Struthio camelus: one gene and its partners. The protein of the gene in region 2 purifies or fractionates together with the protein of the main gene of each other region. This does not show direct contact. Links are inferred from orthologs where the notes say so. Each region holds a gene or a part of one and is shown on either strand. Other genes may lie near its edges.

Region 1 (6,990 bases), on a different chromosome or scaffold from region 2:
TAGGTGATTTTGATTAGCGATGGCTGCTGCATGCGCAGCTCCGAAGACGCCAGAAGTCTCCGATACAAGACTCTAACCACACTAATCAGTGCCAGGCTCTGGGTTAGAAAACAACCAGCACAGGAACTCCGGAGAAGAGTTTAAGTTTTGCCTAGAAAATGACTATTCTCTTTCTCCAAAATAAATAGATGTGTTAGACAGTCAGCTCTCCGAGAGTGACCAGCCATCGCTAACTAGAATTTTCAATACCAAGAGGAGCAAAAACATCCTTCCCCTTCTCCCCGCAGTTCACCACCGTGCACAAAAACCCATTTTACAAGGGGTGGGAGACTGCAATTGAAACATTCTTTACATTGCAAAGACCAGAGCACGCCTTGTCTGCATGACAATAAAATGTTTGAACATGAATTTGAACTAAACCCCAAGTCTTCCATTAACCATCAGATCCAACATTTTTTTTATCATTACTTTTAATTAAGGGTGCCTTTTTTTTGTGCAGTGTAAAGCGTATGGTCAAATGTCGCTGCTCCCACCAGCCAGTGGTGGCTGCACAGCATGGAGATTTGGGAGACTTCAGCTGGGAACGGGCAGAAGAGGGACCTGACCAGGTCCCTTCTGAACCCCACACAAGCACTCTAATTACCATTACTGGGGGGGTTCTGTGTGAGCAGTGGTATTTTCTCTCTTACCTAAAGCTTCAAAAGTTTTCTGCACATCTATTCTCATTCTCCCCCCGCCATATGACAAATACAGCTACCCAATCCCATTACAAAAAAATCCCTCAGTTTCAGCATCTGAGGTTTTCTAATCCCAGACTCTGAAAAGCTCTGTGCTGAAATAATGAAATATTTGTTAATGCAGATTTCATTATCAAAGGCAAATATCAACAGTTTACACAGGGATTTCCCTAGTTGTTTTAAGTGTATATATAGATAGATAGATAGCTATAGATACATATCAGCTAGTGTTTGTATGCTTTCATCTTCCTCTATCAGAGGAAACTGGAGAATGACATCCTAACCAAAACATAAAAACGTAAAGGTCAGAAGTAGCGCCTCATCCTCAGGAGTAATTGCTTAAACCAGCAGGACTCTCGATATCTTTCAGGTTTTGCTCTCAACCACTGTTTCACCCAGTTTCACAAAACCCTGGAACACGACTCATCTAAAAAAATATGTATTCCTCTCATATGACTTTGTAAATGGTTGGTTTTGATTTTTTTTAAATTTAAAGAGTAGAGAAATACAAAGTACTCTCAGAAATGCAAACCTTGTTTCATACAGAAATAAATATTTACATTTTCCTTCAACGTTACAGAACTCTAAACATCCTGTGTATCAATACCTTCGGGCTTTTTTAAGTTATTCTACTTAAAATAAAAAGCCTATCCATAGGGTAAGTTTAAAAGTTATTTTAAAATGAGGTAAGCCTTCCCATTTCAGAAACAAAGTACAACCACACAAATCAGAAGGAACACAGAGGAAGTTGAACATACTGGTTTTCCACTATATAAAAAACAGCACACACTTCACACTTACATAAGTTTACCCCTATTGCTCCCATGTGCTACTGGCAGGCAAAGGAGAGGTCCTTTTGTTTGAATAGTACACCAAGCCAATACCAAACGAGGGGAGGAAAAAAACACCTTAAAATAGGATTTTCAAATAGGTGAGGTAATACCATCCAACGTAAGCTTCGCTGACTCAAAGAAAAAAAAAAATCACGCAAGAAAAGTGTATGAGAGAGAGAAAAAGAGTGCTTTAATTACCTAATTTTATTGATAGCACTTACAAATTTGGCATTTGTGGAAATCATTCCCGATTCCCTTACCTACGGGGCCCTCGGTTCAAAATACTCAGCCTTTCCTCGATAGACTTTAAGCACTAGATGTCATCGTTTTCCAGAGGAAACAAAGAAGCCTGAACTCAGGTCTGGACAAGTTGGCAAAGGGGGACTTTCTTCGAACGCTTACGCTTTTCAAAGTTACCGGAATGGCGTATTTCCAACAACATAAGTTTCACCTGCAGCGAACGGCTGCAAGCATACCTACAAGTTTAAAGCTGTTTAAATAACTCATAACCTGAGATGTTAAAGGTCGCTTTTAAAAGCGCGCAATGACAGAAAACGAGGCTCGCAGGAACTCCGAGGTTTCTTAAAAACACCTTCCGTGTCGCCAAGCTCCCTTTTCCAGCCATACACCACCATTTCGCTCGCACAGGGCGCCCGGGTACAACCTGGTCGCGACCTCCTCGCAGGCGTTAGCATACCGCCAGCGTGATTCGGGCTAACGACTAGACAAACAGAGGTATTATTAGGTCCGGCAAAGCGCAGCCAGCCACTGATGTTAAAAAAATAAATAAATAAGAAGAAAGAGGGTGGGGTGGGGGGAAGAGGAAGGTTACTGTAATTTTGGGTTACTCCGTTTCCTGCAGCCTTCGAGGCGGGAGGAGGAGGAGGAGGAAGAGGAGGAAACACCTTAACGCCGCCGGCCGCAGAGCGAGCGCTGGCGGCAGTGATTTGCAAGAGGCACAAGGAGCCGTGAGCCCTAGTCGCGGGCATGCCGCCGTCCCATCCCTTCGCGTAGGCGGGGGGGGGGGGGGGAGCGCAAAAGCACACCTTCCCGCAAGCTTTAACGACACCTTCTGAAAAACAGCAGTCCGCAGCTGCTCAACGAGCAGCAGCGGCAGCAAAGTTTGGGCGCTCCCGCCCCGCAGCCCCCCAGCAGCAGCAGCACCCTCCTCCCCAGGGACGGCGGGGCAGCAGCAGGAGGAGGAGGAGGCGGCGGGTGGGAGGGGGTGGATGAAGGGCAGCCCGCGGCGGGAAGGAGGGCAGTAGCGCGGCGGCGGCGGCAGCAGCAGCAGCCTCACCTCGACCCAGCGCTGGGCTGCGGCGAAGGCCTCCGCGGGCCCCTCCATGGCGGGGCAGCGAGCAGCCCGTCCTCGGCCCGGCTGAGGCGCGGGCAGCGCCGCTGTCATTCAGCCGCCTCCTTTTAACGCCCCGGCCCGGCCCGGCCCGGCCCGGCCCGGCTCCGCCCCGCTCCCCCTGCCGGGAGCTGCCGGCACTCGGCGGCCGCAGGAATTTGGGAAGCCGCTGGCGCTAAGGCAACCGCCCCCGGCAGGGGCCGCCCCCGCCGGGCTCGGCCCGGCCCCCCGGCGACGAGGGGCTCAGGGCAGCCCCGAGCCGCCCCCCCGCCACGGGAGAGGGGCGCTTTGAGCGGGTGGCCACAAAAAGAGAGTCCCCCCCCCCCCCCCGCTCCAGGAGACGCCGGGACGAGGACCTTCTTGGCTGTCATTTTGTTCATTCACGCCCCCCCCCCTCCATGGTGGTAACCACGCCTGTGTTTTTAACTCGGAGGGGTTGCAAGGGTGCCCGTGTCGCGCCTCAGCCCCGCACGTCTTCTGTGGTCCCGCTCGGTGGGAAGCGGGCTGTGCCGCAGTGAAGGAGGCAGCGGGCAGCTGAGGCCCGCCGAGCAAAACCCTTGCTCCCAGGGCAGAGCAGGAAAGCTCAGCAAGAGAGGGGCCCCTCCCTGGCGTGCTTGCCCACCTCAAAATAAAGGGCAACTCCTTGATTGCATTGTAACCTTAACATCAAGGCGGTTTTTCCCCGCCCCTACTTGAATTTCTTATTAGTCTTCTTTCCCTAAAACTTTTCCATATAAGCAAAATGCAGTTGCTGCCTGTATCGTCTGCTGTTATGGGCTGTGGCAGAGCATGGGCTAATTCTATCTAATTTAAGAAAATTCAGTTAACATTGCACACCCATTAGCTTCTCTTGACCTGTTTACTTGGATGCACATCTTATTTCTGATCTGAATACAACCTTCTTAAAAGGGGAATGAACGTCTTGGGTGGAGTTGATCTCCTATCAATAAGCTATTAGCTATCAGTTTCTGTAGCACATATAGACCTTGTTTTACGAGTGGCAGACAAATGAAAAACCAGTGATTCAAATTGAAATAAACTCCACAGGATGTTTGACATTTATTAAAGTTAGAAATGCAGAGAAAGCACACAGTTAGCTCCTCACGGTGGTATGATTTGAGATCTCAGTGCTACAGGGGCAGCAATGAATGAAACGACAATGAAAGTTATACTTTTGAAACAGTTTTTCCTCACTCCTCTTTCCTATCCCAAGGTGGAGCAACTGTAAGACCAAATACAAATGAAGAACGTGCATTCCTTTTTAGTGAAATGTGTGAACCAAGCAACCTTCTCATCTCAATTATTTTGCATTCATGGCTACAAAGGTGAAAAAAAGAGTGCATGTGCTGCTGCTGGCTGACATCAATTTGCATCAGTTGTCATTACTAAAAGTTTCATTTGGAGAACTACTATAGCATTTGCCATTAAAGTCTGCCTTCTCACAAATATTAAAAATATGATATTCAGCCTTAAGTAGGAGAAAAAGGTGGAAATTTGAAAATAAATTTCTATGAAACAGGTTTAAAAAAAATAGAGTTCATGCTTAAGAAAATAGCTTCCAAGTTTTTGCACTTTTTTTTGGTTGTTTTATATCACTTCAAGATGAATCAGATTAAATACTTTAATCATAAGGAAAGTAATTTTTTAGATAACATATCTCAGTAATTTTCAGCAAATACTCCTTTCAGTAAGTTTCATGGACCACAGCAGCTTTCAAGTAGATGCTTTTACTCAGTGAGTGACTTCAAGTTCCAACATACACATTTCTTCCTCAAAGTGAATTTTAAATCAACAATTTTCCTATGTAGGCCAAAACAGCAGAAATTGTTCAATATTCTTTTGCACTAACAAGATAAGTCACCAGACTCTTAGATCAGAAAGAGACTGCATAATCCTGGCATGACTGCTAATTATTGGTAAGAAGAGTAGGCAAACTAATTCACTCCGCAAACTAATTCACTGTGTGTGTGCTCCCAGGGATAGACAGACTGTGGCTTGACTTATTCTTTTCATAAAAAGTTCCAACAATATTAGATGCAATAATATTTTCCATCAAGGCAGGTTTTTTTCCCTTCTTAGAAAATAAATAGTGTCTTTTCTTTAGTGTGGGCTCTAAGTGTATTTATTTTCCAAATACGACATTTCAGTGATAGAAACCACTTTTCTCCTCACCTCGTTGTGGACATGCAGCCATGATTGAAAGGAAAATGCATTACTCTGGCTCTTCAATCTTTAATGTTTCCCAACAAAATGCTTTTAATACCACAGGAAGATTTATGCAGGTATACGTAGAAGACTTTGAACAATCGCAAGCAGTTCATAGTACACCAGCTCCATTCAGCTAAAATTATGCAAGCGCTGAATATGCATCATTTCTTCCCTGCGTCCATCATGCATATGGCCGACCTGAACTGCAGGAGCCGAAGAGGGATTTCCTGGCAGTCCTAGCGCTAAATACCTGGAGCCAAAGCAGGCTACACACAAAGGGGGCTAGGCTCTGCCAGGGACGCACAAGTTCAGAAATGCCACATGATTTTTCCACAGAGCTTGAGTTAATAGCACAAACTTGACAGATAATGCAATGCCTGCATGGGCATCGCAGCACTGAGGGCTCAGCCAAGCTCCTTCACCCCAGTTCAAACCTTGCTAGACTACACAAGTCAGCTAAGCACGCGTGCCACGCTCCTGGTGTCCGAGTTAACATTGGTTTTTCAATGCCAAAGATATTCCGGCACCTTGCAGATCCCTTCATTGTCTGTGCTTCTCAAGACACTCGCCAGTGCCTGTGCCAAACCACGGTATTACAAGCACTGGAAGGCCACCACAGTGCACATGTTAGCTAAAATAGTATTTCTGCAGCAGTCTGTCAGAGATTTCAGCCTAGCAAGGAACTGCGCAGTAAGCAGATACCACTCAGTATAAAGCCTGACACATGGTTCTTCCTTAACTGTGATCTCAGTCTTCTGAGAACCTGACTGTCCAAAAGCAATGTTCACTAACAAGTACCATCTTATATTAATAATCCAGAAGTTAACACTGAAAGTAAAAATACAAGGAAACCTTACCCTAGAGAACTGATTTTAAGACTATTTACCCTAGAGAACTGATTTGGAGACTATTTAGAAAGTGTGTGCACAACTGTCATCTTTCCAAACACAAAGACTTCTTATTTATAATCTTTTGCTTAAGGTCACATTCTTCAAACGTGACCAAGAAAAAACCTATCCCAGTTTTACTACTCTAACCTCAATCACCTTTGCTGAGGTTTCACTAAGTCTGTTACAATAATTGATAGAAGTTCCAGTTCTTTTGGGTGTGCAATAAACATTTACACAAAAACACAGTCCCCACATTTAGTGCTTTAAAATACAGACATCTTCTGAACATTGATAGGCATACATGGGTATGAACATTTCCCTACATTAGACAACTGATATAGCTAAACAGTTTTGATTGCACTTCCTCTTCCCTCACCCTCAGAGCACCTTATCTTTATTAGCTATAGCTCAGTTTCCCAACTGCAGTCCTCTGAGCCATCTTTAACACAAAAGATGCAATATCCCAATTATATTGTGGAAACTTTTAGTTCAGCAGGAAAACAAATGCAGTTGCTCTGTTTAATAAATTCTTTGAATTTCACTTAAAAGGAAGTTTCAAGGCTTTACTAATGAGCATGGCAATGTAAAGCAAGTGTTCTGTAGAGCAACTTTTCTGAACACTACTGCATTTTATGGGGAGAAAAATAAATGCTGGAAATGGAAGCTCATTAGTGTTCTCCCCCCTCACTTTTCCAACCAGCTCATTTACAGAAAACAGACTCTGTTGTCAGAGGACTCTCCAGGTGACATTTTCAGACAGACACTCTCCTCCGACTTTTTCTTTAGAGTGCAAAAGACGTTCTTAAGTGATAAGACAGACTCCCAGGCCTGTTTCTTTCCTATGAAGGAAAATTCTGCCAGATTGCTTCTGGCATAATCCCATTCATTTTACCTGTAATGACAATTGATAGAGAGTGAAAGCACACTATGGGACACTGAGGGATCAGTTTCTTTTGCCAGCAGTCTTGATT
Region 2 (7,629 bases):
AAGACAGGGAGAGAGAACTTAATGCGCTCCTAGTATTAATGCAAAAAGTGGTCATTCCACATGCACATTCAACTTAAATGACAGATTGGTATTCCTATATATTTGTAGACGGTACTTACCATCACAGGATTCCATCTACTCCAATTAGTAAGTGTGACCTTTTGGTCACATATCTCATAGATCACCGAAATAAAGAACAAATTTAAAATTAACCTGCACATTCAATGTACTTTCCTCAAACAATTTCACTCACACAATTATTTAGCAGTCTCAGCTACGATATTTGCAGAACTACAGCATTTCAGCTATGTACGTACAAGAACAAACTAGACCAACATTTTTAATTGTTTCAGCTGAATAAGAACACAGAACTAGGTGCTAAATAGCATTTATAATATATAATCTTCCAGGCCAGGGCCAAGACAGACATGAAGACATGTTTAGAACAGCTAACAGAATTAGAGCGTGCACCTTAAATTGGTTTACCCAGCATGACTTCAACAAACTTTATGGAATCTATGGAGGGGAAAAAAAGGCATTATTTTAAACATGACAACTGGAAGATGTAAAGCTTCCTCCCTAATGACAGCAGTCTCATTGCCCTTCAGAAGCAATGTATCATGAGGAGTCTTCTACACTTTACTCTAGCCAGCTTGTTCAACAAATATCCATGCTAGTGTGCAACAGAAATCCTACAGAGGAAAACGCTGCAAAAACTCAACCGCTATCAACTTATTTCTCCTAGCAGACAGGAAGTCTGATTGTTTGGTACTGCAGATCTCTACAATGGCGTAGGGTCTGATCACTTTTTGAAGAACAGGAATAATTTACCACTAGTCTAGAAAAGCACCAAAGACAGTTGCACCTCAAAAGTTCCCAAAGATGATGAATCCTTTAGGATGCTAGCCAAGCATCTTACTTCGGGTTTCTACTCAAACCAAAGCCAACACTATGCCAGGTGGAGAAGCCAACACATCTATGCCAGGTGGAGAAGCCCTTCCTCCTTATAAACAAACCAACCAAAAGAAACACACACATAGCTCTAGGAGTGTCGTTGCAATGGTGTGTTTTGCTTTTGTTTTGCTTAAATGCATACCTATGTGCAATACTGGAACTGCTCCCACTCCCTCCAGTCAACTCAGTCTCACCACGCGATCTTGTTGTTGGGGCATCTTTTCTCGTAAGTCCTTACGGTTATTCTGAAAGGACTATTTAACTGCTGTCATTTAATGGAATTCTTATTTCTACCCCATTTCTCTACTTGAACAGTCACAGAAGTAAGCCTTATTTAAGCCTTACTTTTCAGCTGCAGTTTCTATTTTCCTCCCCAAAATGGGCCTTTCTCTGATGCCTGAGAACAGTGCTACCCAAAGTTTTCTGAGCAGCAACTCAGAACCTAGTACAGGAACGTCAATTGGCAAGAACTATGAAAATGACAAAGAAATAAAGTATTTGAGGTGTCTTCCTATCTCTAGGTGAAGCATAAGTATGCTCACAGTTTTGACATTCAAAGGTATTTATTTCTCTTTGAATGCATAAACATAAGGTCATAAGTCAAAAGTAACAGTCCCAGAAGAGTAACATCATCAAGAAAACTAAAGGCCCTTTCTACTACTTGTGAGAGAAATGCGTTCAAGAAACAGTCACAAGGCAGACATATTTTGGGCAGGAGACACCATCCAAGGTTGCCAGCTCCTCCCCACCACCCCTTTCCCCCCCGAGATAGGAACCCATCAGGCATGGTACAGGAATTTTACAAGGGGAAAAAAAAGGAAAAGACTACATTGGAAGAGATGATCTTTATAAACTCGTATCACATAATGAAAGCATGTGCGTTTCCTTCAGGCAATGAAGGATGTACTCGATCGCTCCAGGGTGAGAGCTCGCTCTCTCTCTACGTTTGCTAGGGGCAGCAGTATCCCCAATCGCAGAAAAAGGAGAAGAGAACAAAAAAAAGCGCCAGCCACCTTCCCCGGGGCCCGACAGGGAGAGTAGGCCGCTCCCCAGCGTCGCCTCCCGAGGGGCTGGAGGAGCCGGGCACCCATCTTCCGGAGAGCAGGGCACTGGGCGTTGTCTGCGGCGAACCGACCTCGGCCTCCCACCGCCGGGCTCCGCGAGGCCCAGGCCGAAGACACGCAAAACCTGGGCCGAGCGGAACCGCCTCAAGCCGCGCCAGGCAGCGGCACGACGAGGGGCAGCGGGGTCTCTTTGTCGGGCCCCCCGAGGCGGGGGCGGCTCCCTTTCCCCTCCGGGACTCGCCCTTCGCGGCCGCCATTTTACTCCCGGTTTCTGCCGCCACCGCCCCCCGAACCGGCCCCGCCCCGGCCCAGGCCGCCCGCTCGTTCGGGCCCCCCATCCCCAGCTCCACCAGCCCCTTGGGGCGCTCCCAGTCGCCATTTTGTCCGTGCCCCCCTCCCCCGCCCCGGCCCCCCCTCCCCCGCCCAGCCGCCATTTTGTGGCCGCTCCCTCCCTCTCCCCTTGGCCTTGCACGGCCTTCCCAGCCAGCGCTCACCATCGTAGCGCTCAGCCTGCTCAGCCAACTTGGCCTGATAGACGAGGTCCTCCCGATCGTCCATGTCCTGCAGGCGGGGCGGCGTCGGGGACTGCACGGGGCGGATGGAAGCCGATGGCTCTGGGGGGCTCAGCAGCTACCAGCTCGCCGCTCTCCGGGCAAATATGGCGGAAGCCCCGCCCCGACACATCCGGGCACTTCCGCCAGTCTGCGCAAGCGCCCTGCGCTTTCCCATGACAACGGCGGCTCCTTGGCAACAGGCGGGAGGCGGGGGCCGGGGCCGGGGCCGGGGCCGGGGCCGGGGCCGGGGCCGGGGCCGGGGCCGGGGCTCGGGCTCCCGCCGCGCGGTTTTTACCGGCGGCTGTGGGTCCCCGACCGAGAGGGGGCTCGTTGTTTTGGGGACCCGGAGGAGCCCCGTGCGGCCCCGTGGCGGGCGGTGGGGGCGCGGGTGGAGAGCGCGGGTGGCCGCCGGGCTGCTGGCAGGGGGAGCCCCTTTCCTGCGTGAGGGAGGGCTGCGACCCGGGCCCGCGCTGCTGGGCGCTGGGGGGGGGGGCGCTTAGGAAAACGATGGGGTTTTTTGGGGTTTTTTTCACGCATCTGGTATCTTCCCCTCAGGCAACGCGTTTCTGCGCCCTCCAGCGCTGATAGCATTATTTGAATACCCCTCAGTGTGTTTTTTTACAAATCACTCCATACGCTCTTTACATCACGGTGTATCTAGAAATGGATATAAAGCAGTAGGTCAGATTTCGGAGGTTTCTGCAGTTTCTCCAGAGTGCTTACTCAAGAGAAATATCACCCCCGAAGCTCTATCTGAGGCAGGGCGCGATAATTTCAGTTTTAAGAAGTCAGGAGAGCCAGAATCGAGGTTGAATGATTCAGAAGTTCCTCACAGAGCATTTGTGAAATATTTAGAGTGCGGGTTTAAAGACTTGAGATAAGGCCTTGATTTCCAAAATCAACATGGCTTGGGAAGACGAGAAGGGCTTGTGCTTAGCTAGTGTAAATTCAGCCTTCAGAAGTTCACTCAGGGCACGTGTGAAATGAGGTCTCGTGTCTCTCGGTTGTCCCCGCGGCTCCTGGGTCAGGTAGGCGAAAGCCTGAGCCTTGCCAAGGTGTGGAAGTGCCCGAGGGCCTTCGCTGCCCTGGAGACACAGCAGGACCCTGCATCCCCTGGGCACTGTCTTGGGCATCCTTCTATTTTGCTGTTTTGTCTTGTGCCTGCTGAAACGGGCTCCTGATGTGCAACTGCAAGTACAGCGCTAAATCCTAATTTAAAACACACTTTTTTAAAATGGTTTATCTTTTCCTGATTGACTTTGACTCATACTACTTTAATGAGAGAGCAAGAGCTTCAGGGTATGTATAAGTAACATATCCTTAAGGCCTTCTTGCCAACATACTACAAAATTTAACAGACTGATTTTATATCACTGTTTGCATAACTTTCCTTGTGACGTTCTGGGCCTCAGTTCTATTCAAATCTGTGTTATCTAAACAAAAATATATACAAAAAAAACCAAAGACACTAGTATGTTCTGGGCTAAGGTGGAAATTAGGTGTCAAGTCCAAAAAAAATTTCTATTTTCAATGTAGAGGGAATACAGTCAGAAGATGCAGTTTTTGCTGAAATTGGGAACTATTCTATATCTTTACCTCTGAATTGTTTGTAACTACAAGGCACAATTCCCAAGGTTTTTGGCAGACGCACACGAGAGCCCAGCAGCACACAGAGTCATGGTCTATTTGTGTGAATTATGAAAACTCATTGAGCGTCTGACTTGCAAATCATCTCTGCACTTCAGAAATCTTGACCATAACAATTTACTTTTCGGCTGCTGAGACTTTGTGTGGGAGTTATGCACAAGAAATTAGATTTGGATCACGTTTAGTATCTTTTCTGTGATCCTCATATTGAGCAGGTACTCGAGTTGTGCAGAGCTTAATGGTGCAAATAAACCAGGTCACGTTAAGAATACTTGTTTGCCGCAAGTAAGTTGCCCACTTGATAATCTTGCTGAATTGTAGCATATTGCCTGAATACTTGAAATATTTTTGAATGCACTGGTTACAGAGGACATGCACATGTTTGGAAATCGGTCAGAGAATTGTTGAAGCATTAGGAGTAAACAGTCTAATGCAGGGAAACACTCAAAGCAGGATTTCCTGCTGCAATCTTTGTCTAATCCGTTGCAGCAGCAGCAACCTTTACACGAGTTGATTCAATCACTACTGCAGTGGAAAAATCATCGCCGGGAGGAGGCAGATGGGGAAGGAAAGGCAACAGTTTTCTGTGCGAGTCCTGAGTCACATCAGCTCACAGAGAAAACTGGCAAGTGCCAGTCCACGTTAAGAATCAGGAGGGCATGGCTGTCAGAGATGTGCGGAGAGGGGCACAGGACCTCTGCCTTTTGGCTGTGGTGAGTTGTGAAATTATCTCAGGTCATCTCATTAAAAGGCAGCCTTCGGTTGCAGTTCCACTGCAGCTGAATTGGAAGAACAATGGGGCAAAGCTGGGGGCAGAACCGCAACCTATGAAAATTTGCTTTTTCCACCTGAAGCTGACAGAATAGTCTGTATTGCGTAGGGGCATCACAGGAAAATTAGTTGGCATCTCAATACAGTTAAATACAAAGTCACTCACTTAAATAAATTCCCACTTGAAGACTATGCCAGACAGTATTGACTGAGAAAATTATCTGTAGTAGCCAGCCAACTGAACTTGAATCAACTTAAATATAAGAAGCTATCACTGTGATGTTATGACTAAGAAAACAAATGCTATCCTTTCGCTTAGAAGCAAGGAAAACTATTACTGCAGTGCTAACATTATGAAGGCTACTCCTTGTATACTTTTGGGAAAAACGGACAGTGAAGCAAGTAAAGCTTTAATTGGGAATATACAGTATGGCTTCCTACAAATGCTTTAAAAATAAAACACTGAACAAAGGAGCTCCCTTGCAAAAGGCCAAATGCTTTGAGGGATTTGGAATACCACAAATGTAATTTCTTTTGGCCCATAATTAACCATGGCACAAAGTGCAGAGCTAAGGAACTGGTGGAGTAAAGCTAGAGCTGTTCTTTGGTGTACACCACAAGCTAAAACTGTCTGGCTTTTAGATATTGTGGAGTAGTAGTACCATTACAGACATCTCTCCCTTTCCCTATTTCAGCATATGTCTCAAGAACTGTTTTTTTGTTTTTAATGGATGGTCTTGCATCTAAATGGATTCCCATCCCTGCAGGCCTAAAGGCCACTTCCCCTTGCAGCTTTTAAGGACTGTGATGGGAAAAAAATAGGTCTAATGAAGATATACGTTTGAAATGTCCTTCCACATGGGAGATCAGACTTTCTAGTCCTCATTTTCTGTGTATTTCATCCCTTGACAGTACACGGCAGATCTTAGTCTTTCACTGAAACAGTGCTCTCCTGCTACCACATTTAAAAGAAATCCTATTAAACCATTAATAGACTCTTGTATGAGACTCTTGCTGCTATTATTTATATACTTAAATGCTCATTTCTGCTGATGATCCTAAGACTGGAAGCTTTTTATCTTTCCAAACTGACACTCATCCAAAGAACCCCCACACTCTCTTCTGATACACCTGTGCAGTTCCACGTGAAACTAATAGTTACAAAGTCTCATGTGCACTTTCCTCATGAAACCTCCTTTGCAGTGAGAATATCCTTTTCTCCCTTGCCCTTGAGGAACTCATTTTATTAAAGAAAGTCATATTGTTTCAAAGAGGCCATAACATTTTACTGGTTAATAAGTTCTATTCGTTATCTTGCTTTATCTTTTTTCTGCAGATATTTTGCTTAATTGTTTTTGCATGAGTATGGCCAATTAAAAAATACTGCCAGCAACTGTACTTCTATATTATTAAATGCAAATACTCCAATAACAGCTGATTGACAATGACACCAAGCCAATGTTTTGGCTATACTTTTATTTACTTCACGTACTATGAACATATACATTACATGCTACAAAAAAATAAAAAAGACTTTAACTGTCAAGAAAGTGGATAGTGTTATAATACAATGGCACATGTTCATATTTTTCTTCAAACTGGTTTGGTTAGACTCCTTCCCCAAAACTACTAACAAAAAAAATGAAGTGTTTTAAGATGATTAGAAATATTTGCATTATTAACAAATAAAATTCAAACAGATTAACAAGATTTAACCAGGTCAAATATTAGTAAAAAGGCTGGGGTTTACCAAAATGAAATATATATTAAAAAACCATAGCAGCCAGTTGTACTTTTAGTGTGATATAATGTGTAAATGCACCAGAAGAACACAGTGTAATTGAGCATTCTGCTTTCAACGGTGTATTTCTAGAAATGATTATTCTAGTTCTAACACCTGCCTATGCACAATAGACCAAAAAAACCACAGCCAAGTAGAGACAAGAGATTGTGACCAACATTCTTAGCAATGATTTTTTGCACGCATCGGGAAGGAGGGAAGGAACAAATAGAAGAGGATAAACAAAGGCCACAAGAGGATTTCATCTACGTGTTTATGAACATATGTTCTACCTATTTTCCTTTAAGAGTTCGATAAGTTGAAATGTCTATTTTGTACAAATGCAAACATAGTAACTTCTATCACCTATGAAACAAAATCACATTTCAGCTTAAAACAGAATAGTGGAAAACAGTTGCATAATGTATCAGTTGACTAAGAAAAAAACTGCTTGACAAGAACTTAGGATTCTAGTGCAACAGCAGCTATTAAGACTCTTCTAGTTACTTTTTTTGCTCTTTCAAAGTGTACAAATATTTGCAATTTATACAGTCTTCACCAAAAAAAAAACCACATCTACAAAGTTTGCAGGGTATTTGCTAGTTAACAATTCAATTTGTTTTTCATAATAAAAAGGCAAGATTTGCATAATAAAATTCCTTTCAGAAAAAATGTGTTTTGTTATCTTAAAATAATTGCTGATTGGAAAGCTACAAATGATTTTCATTAACTGCCATCGGAAAAAATTCCTTCAGAACAAACTGTGTTACTTCAAGAACACACAGTTCATTATGCTTCTTTTGCAATACGTGAAGAAAAATATAAGCATATATGGGCAACTGATAAGCTTAGTATGCAA
Region 3 (6,934 bases), on a different chromosome or scaffold from region 2:
GCACGGAGGTTTGCAAATCACTGCATCCCTCTGCCGTGCTTTCACAGAGCGCTTGACACCCGTGACACTGGCAAGTCAACAGGTCGACGGACTGAAACCACAGCTTTTTCCCTGGGTTATGCCGCATGACCAAGCCCAGCTGTTAGCTGCAGCCTGCACCCTGAAATCAGTGGCAGAGCCCCATTTCCTGGGAGGAACGAGGCCGGCTTCCTGGGGAGCTCGGGGCACGGCGCTGTCTGCCTGGGGAGGAGGAAGGCGGCTGCGGGGAGAGGTGCCTTTGCATGTTTGCACACAGACACAACTTTGCATTTTCTTTTTCGCCTTGCCGTCCGCTCTTGTAGAGCTCAAGAAGACTAGGCCTCCTCTGCTCTCCAATAGCTGAGATCAGCACTTTAACCTTATTATTTTTAAGTTAGTCTCTAACCTGATCCAAAAACTGACTACCCAACCTAAACCTCCCCTCCTGACCTCGAGCCTGGAGGGAACGTGTCGCTGGGAGGCGAGGTGCTTTGGTGCGGAGGTTGTGCTGGACATTTGGCCAGTGGTGTGGAGGCCACGTCGGAGGTGTGGAGGGAGGAGGAGAGCAAAAAGACGGTAAGGGCAAGGACACATCGCGCCCCAGACAACATTTTCAATTCATTGCAAAGGACAGGGACTCTGGCAATTTTAAATGCTTCTGCAACTAAAAAGGAAATAAGGGGTTGCAGGAGCGGAGCAAACCCCGGAGCACAGGCCCAAAGACAGCGTCAAACAAGAGCAGATGCACAAAGAGCAGCACCTTCCCAACATGATAACACACGTCGGGTGCTGCCTGGGACACCGAAACCCTGCTTCCCAGGCAGCGTTGCAAAGACCAGACCCCTCGCCTTTCCCACCCACGCTGCAGCAAGAGAGCAGGCAGGGAGCGCCCGTCTCGCTCCGCAGCACTTGGAGAGTTGCTGGCTCCAGCCTCAGGCACAGCAAGTGTCACTTCTCCCCCAACGCAGCAAGCGAAAACATGAAAATAGCCAGTGCAAATGGTGGGATTGCTTCTGGGGAGGTGATCCCCTCCACAACACCAGGCCGTCCCAGCCAGTCCCTCTCCTGGAGCTACAAGGATGGGAGAAATCTGGGGCTTGACCCTCAGGACCTGCCCAAAGTCCAGCCAAGAGCCATCTCCGGCTGCTCTCCCAGCAGCTCTGGGGCCCTTGCGGGAGAGGAACAGCTCAGCATTTGCAGCACAAAAGGGACCCCCCCCATCTGCCTTTTACTCCTTACAACCCCACTGGAGAAGCCCCCCCATCCCACTGGAGGGGACCCAGCGCGCAAGTGGAGTCACTATGCGCTGCCGGCGCACAAGATGGACGGTGCTCCTGTGCAGCTCTGCTTTGGCTTTCTTAGATATTTCCCCCTTCCTCCCTCCTTGACTATGTTTTTCTCCCTGGGTTTTCTTGGTAAATCCTCTTTGCCCTTTGGCAGCCCATCGGACTCATTCCCACCCTTCTTTGCCCCCATCCCCAGGGCACCTGCCTCTGTGCTGCTCTGAGGAGCCCCCACACAGGAGGCCCTGCTGGCACACCGGCCACGGGTGCTGGGGAGCGGTGAAAACCATATCAAAGCACCCGACACATTGCAGACCTTTGACACCCTCCCCGCAGAGCTGTTTGCAGCTCCCTCCCACCAGCAGGTCCTTGCCAGAGACAACACAGACAAAACCAAAAGAAAACCAGTTGATTCCAGCCAAACGACATCACATTAAAAGCTCAGGGGTTGCTGCATACAGCGTCGTCCTCTACAAGCAGAAACCCCCAGAAACCGAGGGGGCCACATATGAGTCCACCGAGCAACATTCACAACACAGCTCTTGTGCTGAAGCACCATGATGAGCGTGGACAGAAGGCAAATGCAGCCCCAAACACTGCGCAAAGCCCTCCCGGACCACAGCTGCCAAGACTTGGCCACCATGTTCCCACCAGGAGAAGACAAAGCTTGATAATGCCGCAGTGCCCTGAGATCCTCTGCCACAGCTCACTGGGTTCCTAAGGACTGGAAAGCACTTACAACCATTTGTTAGCCACAGGCAAAGTGTGGCTAGACACGTCTCCGTCAAAGCTGCAATCCCTCCGCTCCTTTGGGAGCCAGCTAAGATGGCTCTTCCAGGGTTACAAGCTCTCATTTCCCTTCCACAGCCGAACGCCATTAAAAGCATGTACTCATCACCCTACCTGGTGCTGGGATCGTTTATGAGTTGGGTTCCTTCAGCTGATCCATGGTAAGTTCCAGGTTGTCTCAACTGAGCTGGAAGATAAAACCACCAAGAGAAAACTTAAGTGTCTCCACGAAGGCGTCACGGTTCAGGGCAGACTCCTCTCGCGCTGTCGGTGGGAGCTCATCTTGCAGGAGCCGAGGCAGGACAACGGGACCATAGGGCGCTCAGAGCGCCTGCTCTCCAGAGCAGAGCTGGGCTCTCAAGGTCCTCCTTGCTCTGGTGAAACACCAGGCGCAGGATTGCTCCCTGGGAATCGTGCTCTGCTCGGAGGGACCTACCCTTTTTTGACTGGTGTCCAACTCCAGGTGCGTGTTCTTACCTGCTCGGTGGAAGACAGGGGAAAGCTCAAACTCCTTTCTGAGAAACACATCGGCTTCAAAGGGGTGTGGATCTCACGCAACTCATCTTGCTCTTCAGCCAAATGACAGTTAGGAAAAGAGGAGACACAAAGTTGCAGCAAACTGGAGAAAAGAGGAAGGTGGTGTGAACTCTCCCTGCAGGCCAGTGTCTAAAGAGATCTACCAGTTGGTTAATAGTGTAGCTGTGATCAACAGGTACATTGATGTCAAGCTGAGACTTGTCTCCTCAGAGAGGAAAGGGAACAGCAGAGATTACTAAGCAATGAAGGAATGTGGTTTGTTTAATATGAGCAATCAACATAGAAGAGTAAAATAATGACAGATGTGTAATCACATTTCCTGAGTCTAAAATCATGAGATAGAGAATTTAAACACTACTTTTCCCAAGATCAAGAAGAGGAGCAGTTTGGCTAAGAACTCATTTGGTTACTAATTTCCTTGCATTAAATAATCTATTTCGAGAGTCTTTTGACATGCTTTGCCGAAGTGCTCTAGGAACCGGGCTGCTCCCTGGTACACTTTGAAGTGAGGGTAAGCAGGACGAGAAGATGCTTTGGAAACACAGATATGCCAGCTGACCAAGCTGGCCTGGTTCAGAGATTTTTGAGTGTTGCTTAAGTTGTTCATTTTAACGAAAGATGGCAAGATAAATTTCATGTGGCTTTTTGTCCGGGGAGCAACGAGTGGCGTAAGACAGAAATTAGGATCCAGTCAAACCGACCCATTGAGGGTAGGCTGGGGAAAAAAATAGAGCCATTTCTCCATGAAAGGCCTGGCAATTATGGAAAGCCAGAGCGTGCTGCGTTGTGAACTCTCCCGTTAGGCTGATCCACAGAGGGCACACGGCTGAGGGAGCCAGACCCAAAGCCCCCCAAAACTGGTGGAAGAAGCTGCTGTGCAACCTCAGTCCTTAACTCAAGCTTTGGCAGATTTCTGAAGGTCATGGGTGCAATGACCTGAAGGAAAAGGGTTATGTGCAGTAAAGGGCTGCGAGGGAGAGGTGTCATTCGCTTATCTGTTTTTTTATTTGTCTCTTAAGATCAAAGGTGGGAAAAGTGCCAAAACAAGTGGGAAAAAAGCCATTGAGTGCAGAAGCCAGCTATAGAGGGACTCTGGCCTGTGGTGGCAGGTCCATCCCGTGAACTGGCTTCTGTTCCCTCAAATCAGTGCTGCCAACTTGGAGGCAAAGCCAAGAGAGACCATGGGTGGTCACTTCTGGCTACCCTCACCCCTTTTTTGCCCATCGTTGCTCTAGGTGGCCACTTCTCTGACAGTGCCGGTTGCAAGCCGAGCACTGCAGCAAGCCGTTGCCTCCCTATGTCGTGACCCCTGTGCAGCACGGGGAAGGCGCTTGCCTGGTCACCCCACAGTGCTGCGGGCAGTGGGGCTTGGCCACCCGCCTCCCCGGCTCCAGAGCTGGTGCAGGGCTCGCACAGGCTCCCCACCGGCATCTCCAGCGGCGCAGCACGTATTTGCATTTGAGATAGGCATCAGCAGGAGGAGCCAGGAGCCAGAACCAGGGCTTGAGCAAGAATCGCTCCAATGAGCTCGCCAGCCCCTTGGAAGGCCCCGCTCATGGCTGGCGCAGGACACGAGCAGACCCACCGCACTGGGGACAAAGCCAAATGACCTGCCTCCCCCTTCCCTGGCTTCACAAGCCTGTGACCCCAAGCCACCTGTCACTGTCACCATGCGGCATCCGATCCTGCCCTTCAGCAGTTGCAGGGCAGCAGTGCCCAGCTGGACATGGACTTGCAGGGCACATGGCCAGCCCCAAGCACACCCTGGTTATCGGGCAGCAGCAGAGATGCCCAAAGCCAGGGGCTTCGGGAACCGGAAAAGCCAAAATGGAAGTATCCAAGGGTGTGGGAACGCTTTCCCAGACAGGAGGCAGCTGGTGGTCCTAGGAGACCTTGCAAGGGAGCCCTGAGCTAGGGCAGCTGTATCGCTCAGAGGAAAGCCAGGCCCTTATGGGGAAGCTGCTGCCTCTTGCACCAGGAAAAGTGACTGAGATCTTGAAAGGGGCTTTAATTAGTCTGACCGTCTGTGAACAGCTATTCTGGAGACACCCGTGCTCCAGTTAAGGTTCAGTTTCACCCCAGAGTGTACAGAGCCCAGACACAGCTTGTCCCTGCCCAGCAGCATGCAGAAGCACTCGGACGGTCCTGGGAGAGCCCAAAGGCCGGATTTGCCTCTGTAATTAGGGCTGAGGCCAGATTCCGCTCGGCCAGCACTGGGGTGAGTTGCGTTGCTGGTCCTTGCAAGGGACGAAAGGCTTAATTTGGGATATAGGGAGAAGAGCCCATACAGTGAACGTGGGGAGCCTTTGGAGGACGTCTCGGAGCCCATGCCCAAGCAGGACGGCTGTCGGAGGCAGAGCAACTCGCCGCCTCTGCCGGCTTTGTGACATCTTGCACCTTGCCCACAGCACAGACGAGATCTGCGTCTTGCAACCCTACGGCTTTCATTCAGGGCTGCAATTTCTCCACCGGTTACTTTATTAAGAGTCACCTTGGGTGGGATTTAGCTGTCTGCTGTGAGATGAACTGAATCACGCCCTCCGAGTCAGCCCGCTCTATAAAGGGAGTCTAGACAGCCGGCTGATGTGGAGACATCTCTTTTGGAGATACGTGCATGAGGTCTGAGGCGCTCACCACATCAAAGGACCCCAGAGCTGCTACAGTGAGGTTGTAATTAAGCCACCCCAGGGCAAGAGGGAGAGAGTTTCTCAACACTGAGATCCTGAGATCCCCCCCACGGCTCAGTCACTCGGGGTGGTGTCCTCCATCATCGTGAGCCAGAGGGCTACCGGCCGGAGAGCTCGCACCCACCTCGCGAGACTTTGGCGGCCGTACCGGGTGTTTCCATCCCACTGCTTGCAGGGATCGCGCTTGCTTCATGCTGACCCCGGTCTAGAAACCAGGCAGCCAAACGCTCCTTTGCAAACGGATGAGGCTCCATTTTCAGCTTCTTGGCTCCCTTGCACACACTGACCCACGAGCTCCTCCCCAGCCGTAGGATTTAGGGATAAATGAAGACTAGTGCTGGCTGCTCCAGGAGGTTCACTGGGACCAGGCTTTTTTCCTCTTGATTGCTGGAGCCGCTCATTCCCCACTTGTCCCTCCTTAGGCAAGCCGGGAACGAGCAGAAGTGGCTCATTTTGCAGCTCGGGGCTGCGAGCGCTGTGGGTCACCAGGCCAGGCACTTTGCCCCGTGACATCCCACCTTGCAGCTGGCCGGGAAGAGCTGTCCTGAAGGTAGCTGCAGCCCTGGAAACCCTTGCAAACACTCTCGCAGCCTGCCAGCGACCCACACAGCAGGCGACCGAGCGCAGTAATATGGCAGGTTCCAGTTTCGACTTCAGAGAGCACAGAGGAAAAGAGCCATTTAATTACCTGGAGGAACCTGCTTCGTTCCCCTCCTTGCTATAAAGCATATTTGAGTCTTGTCTTCAGCCATGCAACAAGCCCCAAGAAACCCAATGCCTGGATAGGAACCGGAGCTTTGCAGGTGGTAGATACTGGATAATGTTTTTGCTTTTAGTAGGATTTTATACAGCTGGATCATTTCATAGAGTCGGCAGGTGACCACAAAAAAGAAAATGGGCGTAAGCAAGAAACACATAACCTCTTGTGGGCAGGGAAAGAGAGGATAACCATTAATCCTATCCACCAGCACTAGAAGGGTCATGTGCAACGCAGCCTTGACAAAGGCGGGAACATGTATCTCAATTCCCCATTAAAACTAAGCTCTGCAGGGTATCGATAAAGCCTACATTAAAGGATTAAAAATGGACTAAGAGATCTCAAAAATCAGTCTTCCACAGGAAAACCTCAATGAAGTGGAGTGTCGCTATCGGTGTTTCACAGGGCTTGGTACCAAGCCAGATGCTGGCCGACGTTTCATCCGTAATCTGGGTATCACTACAAAATCATTGCCAGCAAATGGTGTGTGGCACCCCACCTGAGGGGGTGTAGGCACTGAGCACAGACAAACCAGGGTGTTTGGGGATAGCCAAAGGTTTTTTGATGGAGAGCTGACAAATAACACAGATTTAAAGAAAATAATCGAATAATCAAATATAGCCATCTCAGCCTCTCTGAAATGGGTTTCTTCTTATTAAATAGGCAATGGCCACACAGGCCCTCAGCTGATCCCTCTGCCTGGCCATGTGTTCGTGCTTTGGAAGAGATCCTATCCCACCACAAAGCCCTTGAAGGGTTTTCTAAATGTAAAATAAACCCCAAGGCAGCCCTGAAGCTGGAAAGTAAAACCAGGCGGTACCAGTACCTCACATCGCGTCCTCCCAATGCAGCAGCCCTGCCTA
Region 4 (7,992 bases), on a different chromosome or scaffold from region 2:
GAACACAGTTATTGTACTGTCCAATGAAACGTTCTCTAAAAGTGCCTTAAGCAACCTGAAAATGTATTGCCATTTCAATTAACAAAATCATTTTCTAACAAAGAGCACGCTAAAATAGGGGGAAGTAATCTCACAAGTATACACCCTATTCACAATAAAAAAGCAAAGCACAGCACCAAGGATTCAATACGCACTAGCTAAACAAGAACTTTGTTCTGAAGACAGATGTTAAAAAATTTTCATAGAACAAGATCACCTATATCAGCATTAAAAAAATCCCTCATCGGTAGCCTTTGAAGTTACAAACTTTTTCCAACCCTATCTTTTTATGCTCATTTGTAATTACTGCATTTCATTTTCTATCTCACTCTCAGGTCTACTACTTTTCACAGCCGAAGTAAACAAAATGCATGTTTACATTTGCACATGGACTTCAGATGTTTTGACATCATCTCACTATGCAAGATTTAATACTCATTAACATGAAAATTAGCCCAAAACCATGGGTTTTTTTTCCAAGTTTCTCATAAATTAAAGCTAGTGTTTTTCAGTTAATCACAACTTTAACCGGTCCTCCTGACACTTGATAAAGGCAGCCCTGCCTTCATCATGCAGAATGACAAAATAAGGCAAAACGAGACCAAGTTGAACAGGTAAAGTATCACAGAAATCAGTAATAAATTGCAACTAGCTTTCCAAGTTTCACCTTTCTCAGTAGCGCCTGTTACTGTTACAAAACACTGTCTATGCAGTGGTAAGAGGAGACATAACTTGCAACAGAGGCAAATAAAATCCTTACTACAGTCTTTGATACAAGCTTAAAAGATGAAGTCTCTCCTATTTGTTACAGGCTTAGAAGGCTGCCATTCATTCTGCAATGAACCATTCCCTTAATGTCTTGGAAAGAGTCTACTAACTGTGCATCTTTTAATGTTTCTCCTGTAGGAATCCAAACAAGAACCAAGTCAAAGAAAAGACCTGCATGTTTGAATCCTTACCATGATATAACCCCTGGCTCTAAAACTGGATGTAAGCAATACCTGAGCATTTAGTCAGCTCACAAGCAAACCCTACACGTCTGAGAGAAGACAGCTTTCTACTAATCTTATTTTAAACTACTATTAAAAGATATTCACCATACACCCTATAAGTTGCACAGTGAGGTTTTTAATATTAAAGCCTATCATTAAACAAATTATCCAAATATCTTGTCTGCTTTCTAGTATTCAAGCTAACAAACAGACACTCTCCCTTTGTGGGTCTCAAGCACTTGAAATTTGATTCCGACTTTACAAACAAATGTTTATTGAAACAAGTTTTTCATTAAGACTGATTCTAAAATTTTTATATATCTGAAAGTTCTGAGAAATCAGTTTTCATGCAGCATCAAAACACAAAAGATATTGCTCTTGTTTGAAACAAAGCTAAAGGTCAAATAGGGATTTGAAGAGTCAAATTATTAACATCATCAGACAAGTTTAAAACAAACTCAAAACGATTACAAAATAAAGCTCAGAATCTCACTCTCTACATTCAAATAAAAAAAACGCATCACAAAAGAAGCGTCATTTGCATTCAACACAGCCAGCCATTGTGTCATACTTGTAAAGGAAACAAAGAATATAGTATGTCTACCAGAAAACGTGCTAACTTTTAAACACAAAAAATTGTTTCCTACACTTGTAACTTAATCACTACATCAGCTCTAAAGAAAGAAAAGGAACAAGCACAGAGATTAGTCTATGGAAAGTTAGCAAAACAGCTGTTCAGAGCAGCAGGGATTTATGAACAAGAGGACCACAGGGAATCCAATTTTAGGTCCTCCACCAAGGACCAGGTATTGATGACAGTCAGAGATAGCAGTTGTATCAACTCAAACACTACAAACTGCTATTTTTGTACTTTAATCTAAAGTGATGATGGTAGATGAAAATTGAGTGCAGGTGCAAAACTTGAACTGAAAATCAGATCATATAAACATATGGCTACAAATAATTTAACTAAAAAAAAAAGAGAGAACAAAAACAACCGAATTTAAAAAAAAAAAACAGTATGAATGCTGTTCAACGTTTGACTCCCCTTTCTGGAGGGCAGATGCAAAATTCACCACGTGCATCGGGCAAACATCAGTCCTCCGACCTCAGTTTAATACCTATATTCTGCCAGTGACCCCCCACACTAGCAGGCCTGTCATTCTGTCTCCTGCGCTGCCTCCTGCCTCAGCTCACCCAGGATTGTCAGATCATCATCCCAACATGGCTGCCTCGGTGATGGTGCTGCACTGAATCCCGGCACCGAATCCACCACCTAGAGGGGCCGAAAAAAACAGCCGGGGGGGGGGGGGGGGAACACGCAACCCCTTTTGGTTCGTGCAGCCGTCCCCAGCTGGCACGGGGGGGCCGTGTCTCCTCCTAATCAAGCCGTTATCGCCTCCGCCTCCCCCCGCCTGGCAAGGGGAGGAAGGCCGGAGAAATGAGGCCATCTCCAGGACGGGGTCCAGTAGGGGAAGCGGCTGCAGCGCCATGGCTCGCGGCGCCAGCGGGGAAGCGGCAGGAAGGCAGGGGAAGAAGCAGCTGCGAGGCCAGGCCAGGCCAGGCCGGGCCGACAGCCCCCTTCACCGCGGCAGCCCCTGCCCCCGGGCCCCGCCGCCCCCCCGCGGCGCGGCGCCCCTGCCGGCAGCAGCGCGCGCGCGCGCACCCGGCCCCGCCAACGGCCGCCGCCGACCGTTGGGTCGCGCCCCCCCCCCGCCCCCGCGCGCGGCCGCCCCTCACCTGGGACGTCCGCGGGCCGCGGGCGCTGTCAGCACCCGGCAGGGCCGGCGAAGGAGCGCAGCGCGGGGCGGAGGAAGGGGGGGAGCCCGGGCAGCCCCATCGCGCTTCGCCGCCTAGCTACGCCGAGCCGGCAGAGCGCCCGCCGCCGGGCGGGGAGCGGGTGAACGGAGAAAGGCCGCGCCGGGAGGACCGAGCGCAGCGACGCGCTCCCCACAGCGCCGCTCCCACACTGACAGGAAGGCGGCGCTGCGCGCCGCTCCCCGCCTTCGCGGGGCCAATCGCCACTCGCCCCTGCCTCCCGCCCCTCCTCACGGGCCAATCGCCGCGCGGCCAATAGGTGTGCGCCCGCCCTCCGCCGTGCCAATCACGGCTTGACACGACCGGGAGCCAATCGCCGCCCGGAAGAAGGGAGGACGCTGCTCGGCTCCAAGGCGATGCCGGCCCTCGACGCTGCGGCCCCGCCCCTCCCCCTGAATCAATCCCTCCGCCGAGCCTCAGGGGCACGGCGAAGTCGGACGGGGGGGGGGCCTCCGCCGCTTCAGCCAATCAGAGCTCAGGGCAGAATTCGCGTCGCCCGTCTTTTAACCAATCAAGAGCGGCGCTAGACACCTTCCCTCCCGCCCCCCGGGGCCGCATCACCGCGCCGCCGCCGGTGTGTGCCTGCGCGCCCCCTGGCGGCGGCGGCAGCGCCTGCGCACGGTGTGTGTGTGGGGGGGGGGGGTCGGGCGGGGCCCCGGGGCCGTGAGGCGGCGAGCGCAAACCGGGCCCATGTGACGGAAAAAACTGCGATTTTTAACGGCTTCTGGGCGTCCGCCCCGATTTAAAGGGCCAAGTGGCAGGTAGGCCTGCCCACCCGCCCTGAAAACCGTGCCCGGACCAGCGAATCGTACCTCTGCCATCCCCAGGCCCTTTCAGTAGGACTCAGAGGCCCACTGAGAAATCGAAGTAAGGCCCAGCGACAGCAGCGATATGTACCCGAAGGAAAAAATATTTCCCCCCCGCCTTCAGAGGTTTTTTTTTTTTTGGGGGGGGGGGTGGGGGGGCAGCCTAAGATATTTTCTGCAGATTTCATAATGCATTTTTATGTAATTGGGTGTTACAATGGTGTTCATAAATTCTCATACTCTAAAATTCCACACATATTCTGTCTTATATTAAAAACTGATCGTTGTGGCAATAATCTCCACTCAAACACTCCTCCTTTTCATTAGTACTTTATTCATTTGTGCTGTTAGGAATAGCCGTATGCTTAACCTTACCAGCATTTTTAAGAAAAAGCATGTATTACATGAAATACCTTCATTACTTTCCATGCACACACACACACACACACCATCATTTACAAATCAAATCTGAACTGTTGAGAACATTCGGTACTTGAGACTTCTGGCTTCAGAACAAGGTTTATTTTTGTTCACAGGTCCCTGGGCTGGTAACTATATTAGTCTCTCATGTGTTCCCCATCGTTTACAGTTGCTTGGAAGAATGCATTACTAGTTGCTTTCTGTTGGGTGAACAGTAATTTTTCCTCTAGCCCGTCTTATGACCGTGTGTGCTTCCCCACTGCAGTTCAGCCATTGTGTGCAAAAGCCTACAAGAGCACAGCTGAGCATCGGCTGGCAAGGATGCATTGCTGCAGAACCAGCAAAGCAATAGGGGTAGGTTTTGCATGTCCTAGAAAATACCATTCTTCGAGCTTTGGAATACTCCCTATTGACAGGAAAATGGAGTTGGCAGTGTGCACATTAGTGTGCTCTAGCTGCGTTAATATCTATCTAGGGCCATGCACAATTAGGTGAGTTACAATACTCTTAAAAAAAAAAAAAAAAAAGACTGGAAAGCTATCTATGAACTGGCAACTTACAATACTGAGCATGTGCTGTACTCTTCCATGGCAATAGGGTGGTTAATTTTACTTTTGCAAACTTTGCATACTCTCTCTTACAAATAATAGTTCACGCACCACTTCCTTGTTTCCTAAAGTTTTGAGGTTAATTACATAGAACAGTTCCAGCATGTTAGTTCTAAGGCTGCTCATTTACAGTGACTTGAAAAATCTTCCAGGAATGCTCAGAGAAAACCTAGCTTTAGTTGTAGAAAGAAGATACCAAAGGACATATGATGCATGCTCTATAGGATCTGGGAGGTCACTTATCGCAAAGTGAGACAGTGAGAGAGAGAAAAATTGATCCTTAAATATCAAGTCTATTCAGCTGGAAGGTGGTAAGGTATTAAAGCAACCCTCATCCAGTTGGCTGTAATACCTTTTAATTAAAGAACTTACATATTTTCCTCTCAATTTAATTAGATCAGGCCTTGCTTTGACTAGCCTTCTCAATATAATTTTTGAAAGTCAGCTCTCCTAGAATAATATAGAATTAAACCTATTCAAGATGCATTTAGCTGGAGTTCTGTTTCAGTACTCTACCTCTGAATCCTGCTTTTTAGCAATGAATGTGTCCATTCCCCTCCAGAAAAGGGGCAATCTTTCTCGGTCCATGAGCTTCTGACAAACAGCATATAGCCCTGCAGCACTTAGCACACAGACTGATTAGTAACTTCACACAAGCATATGCAGATTTAAAGTAATTTAGATATTTCTTTCCCCCCCCTGAAAAAAAAACCCAACAACTTCCCAGTACAAGGAAACCGCTTTTGAGCATTATCATACCAGAACAATGAGAGCAAGCAGTACTGTGAAAAAGTTATTGCATTTATTACTACAAACAAGGATAATTGGTTACTCAAGTCGCTGTGATGTGCTACCTAAAATTGGGAAGACTGCTTAAAGGCAGGAAACAGGGTAGGTTTACGCCAAATGATAAGGAAAAGGAAGACTTACTATATTGTAGTGTAATGCTCGCGGGAACTGAGGGGACTCAATTTGTTATTGGCTAAAGCAGCGCTGTCATCCTGCTATTAACAGCATCACAGGCTGTCCTTGCTGCCAGCAGTGTATAGTTGGCAACAGGGTTGTAAATTTTGTTATTACATAAGAGTAAATTATGATATAATAGAATCAATTGCACTGTATTTTATCAATACCAGCATTAGAACTTGGCTTAGTAATCCCTCTAGTCACATAACTAGAGGGCAAGTACAGACCAGTGATACAATGTTTTAACTTCAACTTCTCCTGGAAGGACACATTTTGCAAAGTTCATGGAAGGTAGCCCATACTGAGATGAGCAATTTATTGCGCAATTCACAGATCAAAACTCCTCAGATTCTGTAGATGCATGTAAGCGTCAAAGCTCAATACATTACCACTGAAAATATCAATTAACTGCTGGATGCTTAATTTTATTTTTATTGTAATAAAATTTGATTGCAAAATTGCAAAAAAGTACAGCTTGTATTAAATGGACTAAAAAGCTAAGAGTTTTCCTGAAGCTGATAAGCTTTTATGCAGGATTCATTCTTAGTCCAATACTAAGGTTAGCTTTCTAAGTTGTTGAAACATCTACTATCCACCAAAGGACAGGCTACTGATACATTTCTGCACCCAAAAGACAGCAATATAATGGTACTATTTCAAATGCTTGTATTAAAATATATTTCATTATTCTGTCCATGAATGTTGATTTTGGAAAAGTAGGTGCCTAAATCCACACCTTTCTGAAATATTTGATACTTTGTTCTCCAGATAAAATTGTTTTAGCCACTTATGTCAGCTTTCATGTCTTCTGTAATACCTGGATTGACACATTTTCAAGTGATAAACGTGAAAGATATAGCTCACTGCACACATTATAACATGTTCGGAAACTATGATGGACTTGGATGCTGAATGACAATTTGCAGGTAAAAACATAGCAGGTTTTGTTCTGTGACTGTTGGGGAGGAAGAGGGGGATTTGAATTTGTGAAAGGAGCGCAGATTAAGAAACCAAAGAGTGACAGAACAATCTTCTCTGTTCAACAATCCATGTAGCCACAACCTTCAGAATCTTCCCCCCCACCCTCAAAAAAGAAACAAGCACACACCACCGCATCTCAACGTGTTAACTTGAAATTACTTACACATCTGAAAGGTCAGCATTGTATTATAATATGACCAGAATTCCCCCTGGAGCGCGGTCACTGCCTGCCAAGGTAACTACCATTAGGTACAAAACTCACCTACTTGTGGAAACTCATTAGTTTGAAGTACTACTGATATTTGAGTTCATGGCAGTTTTTCCACATACAATTGACCAAGTTATCTCTGGATCCTAAATGAGTATCGGGAAACTTGAACGAAGCCACCCAATCATTTGTAATTTTTTTTTTTTTCTACTTTCAGTGACTCACTTAAATGAAAGACAAAGGAAAGATTCTCTGTGAGTGTGTATCACCATTTATTGTAGTTCAAGAGAGTCAGGAATTGAACAGAGGACACAGCGGGAAAAAAAACAAATAAAAGAAAAACAACCTTTTTTTACAGACTTAATTTTAAAACACTGTGGTTTCAAATCCTTTTTAAAAAGGAAATTCAAGTATCTTAAGCAGGGGGCAGTAATACAAAAATGTTTGTGATTTTTTTTAATTTTTTTTAAAAAAATGTAATTCTACATTTCCTGCACCCTTTTTGCTTTGGTAAGGCCAAGCCATGGATACAAATTGGTAAGCAACATAAAAATGATCCCTGCCCCAACTGCAACCTCCAAGAATAAAAGGATCTGCTCTCTGCGGACAAGCTCTAATGGCTCAGAACTGTCATTTAGCATATATCATATCTTCAGCATTAAAAGAATGGATTTTATTTTTTTTTTAAAAGTCACTGAAATCCTGGTATTCCAACTATCTCATTCATGGCAGCTGTTTTATCACATTTCTATCACAAGGCTTTTCAAAAATACCAGAGCATCTAGATCAACATAAAGAAAAGTGACATCTCAAAGAACCAGAACTTAAAATCCACATGTCCAATCTTTGCCTTTTTTAAATTATTCTTGTGTCTTCTAACACCAATTAAAAAAACAAATATGTGACTATGTATAATATAAAAATACGATCCCAAGATTAACACTTTGTTGCAGGCACAGTTATCGCACAGAATATGTTCTTTTTGAGGGCAGGGGAATGATTTTCTTTTTCACAGGGATTTTTTTTTTTTTTTCGCATTACAAAAAAAAGACAGCAGTGCAGGTTTGTAGGGTGGAAGGAGGGAGGGAAAGAGGAAAAAGTTACTTTAGCAGCAAAATGTCCAAGGTTCTAACCACAATCAAATTAACGGATAT

The links.
Region 1: the proteins of YWHAE (region 2) and LMO7 purify together in Homo sapiens (affinity purification with mass spectrometry; 3 studies listed by BioGRID and IntAct, with this or other methods). This does not show direct contact. The link is inferred for Struthio camelus from reciprocal best matches to the Homo sapiens genes YWHAE and LMO7.
Region 3: the proteins of YWHAE (region 2) and FRMD6 purify together in Homo sapiens (co-immunoprecipitation; 3 studies listed by BioGRID and IntAct, with this or other methods). This does not show direct contact. The link is inferred for Struthio camelus from reciprocal best matches to the Homo sapiens genes YWHAE and FRMD6.
Region 4: the proteins of YWHAE (region 2) and KIF1B purify together in Homo sapiens (affinity purification with mass spectrometry; 3 studies listed by BioGRID and IntAct, with this or other methods). This does not show direct contact. The link is inferred for Struthio camelus from reciprocal best matches to the Homo sapiens genes YWHAE and KIF1B.

Annotation. Positions count from the first base shown.
Region 1 is NC_090942.1:177,434,758-177,441,747, forward strand, and holds the start of LMO7 (LIM domain only protein 7), read right to left. Parts: upstream 3,011-6,990; 5' UTR 2,976-3,010; coding exon 2,868-2,975; intron 1-2,867.
Region 2 is NC_090957.1:15,856,068-15,863,696, reverse strand, and holds the start of YWHAE (14-3-3 protein epsilon), read right to left. Parts: upstream 3,016-7,629; 5' UTR 2,577-3,015; coding exon 2,513-2,576; intron 1-2,512. UniProt on the Homo sapiens protein: Adapter protein implicated in the regulation of a large spectrum of both general and specialized signaling pathways. Binds to a large number of partners, usually by recognition of a phosphoserine or phosphothreonine motif.
Region 3 is NC_090946.1:80,641,407-80,648,340, forward strand, and holds the start of FRMD6 (FERM domain-containing protein 6), read right to left. Parts: upstream 3,021-6,934; 5' UTR 2,568-3,020; intron 2,278-2,567; 5' UTR 2,205-2,277; intron 1-2,204.
Region 4 is NC_090962.1:5,886,550-5,894,541, reverse strand, and holds the start of KIF1B (kinesin-like protein KIF1B), read right to left. Parts: upstream 3,006-7,992; 5' UTR 2,772-3,005; intron 1-2,771. UniProt on the Homo sapiens protein: Has a plus-end-directed microtubule motor activity and functions as a motor for transport of vesicles and organelles along microtubules.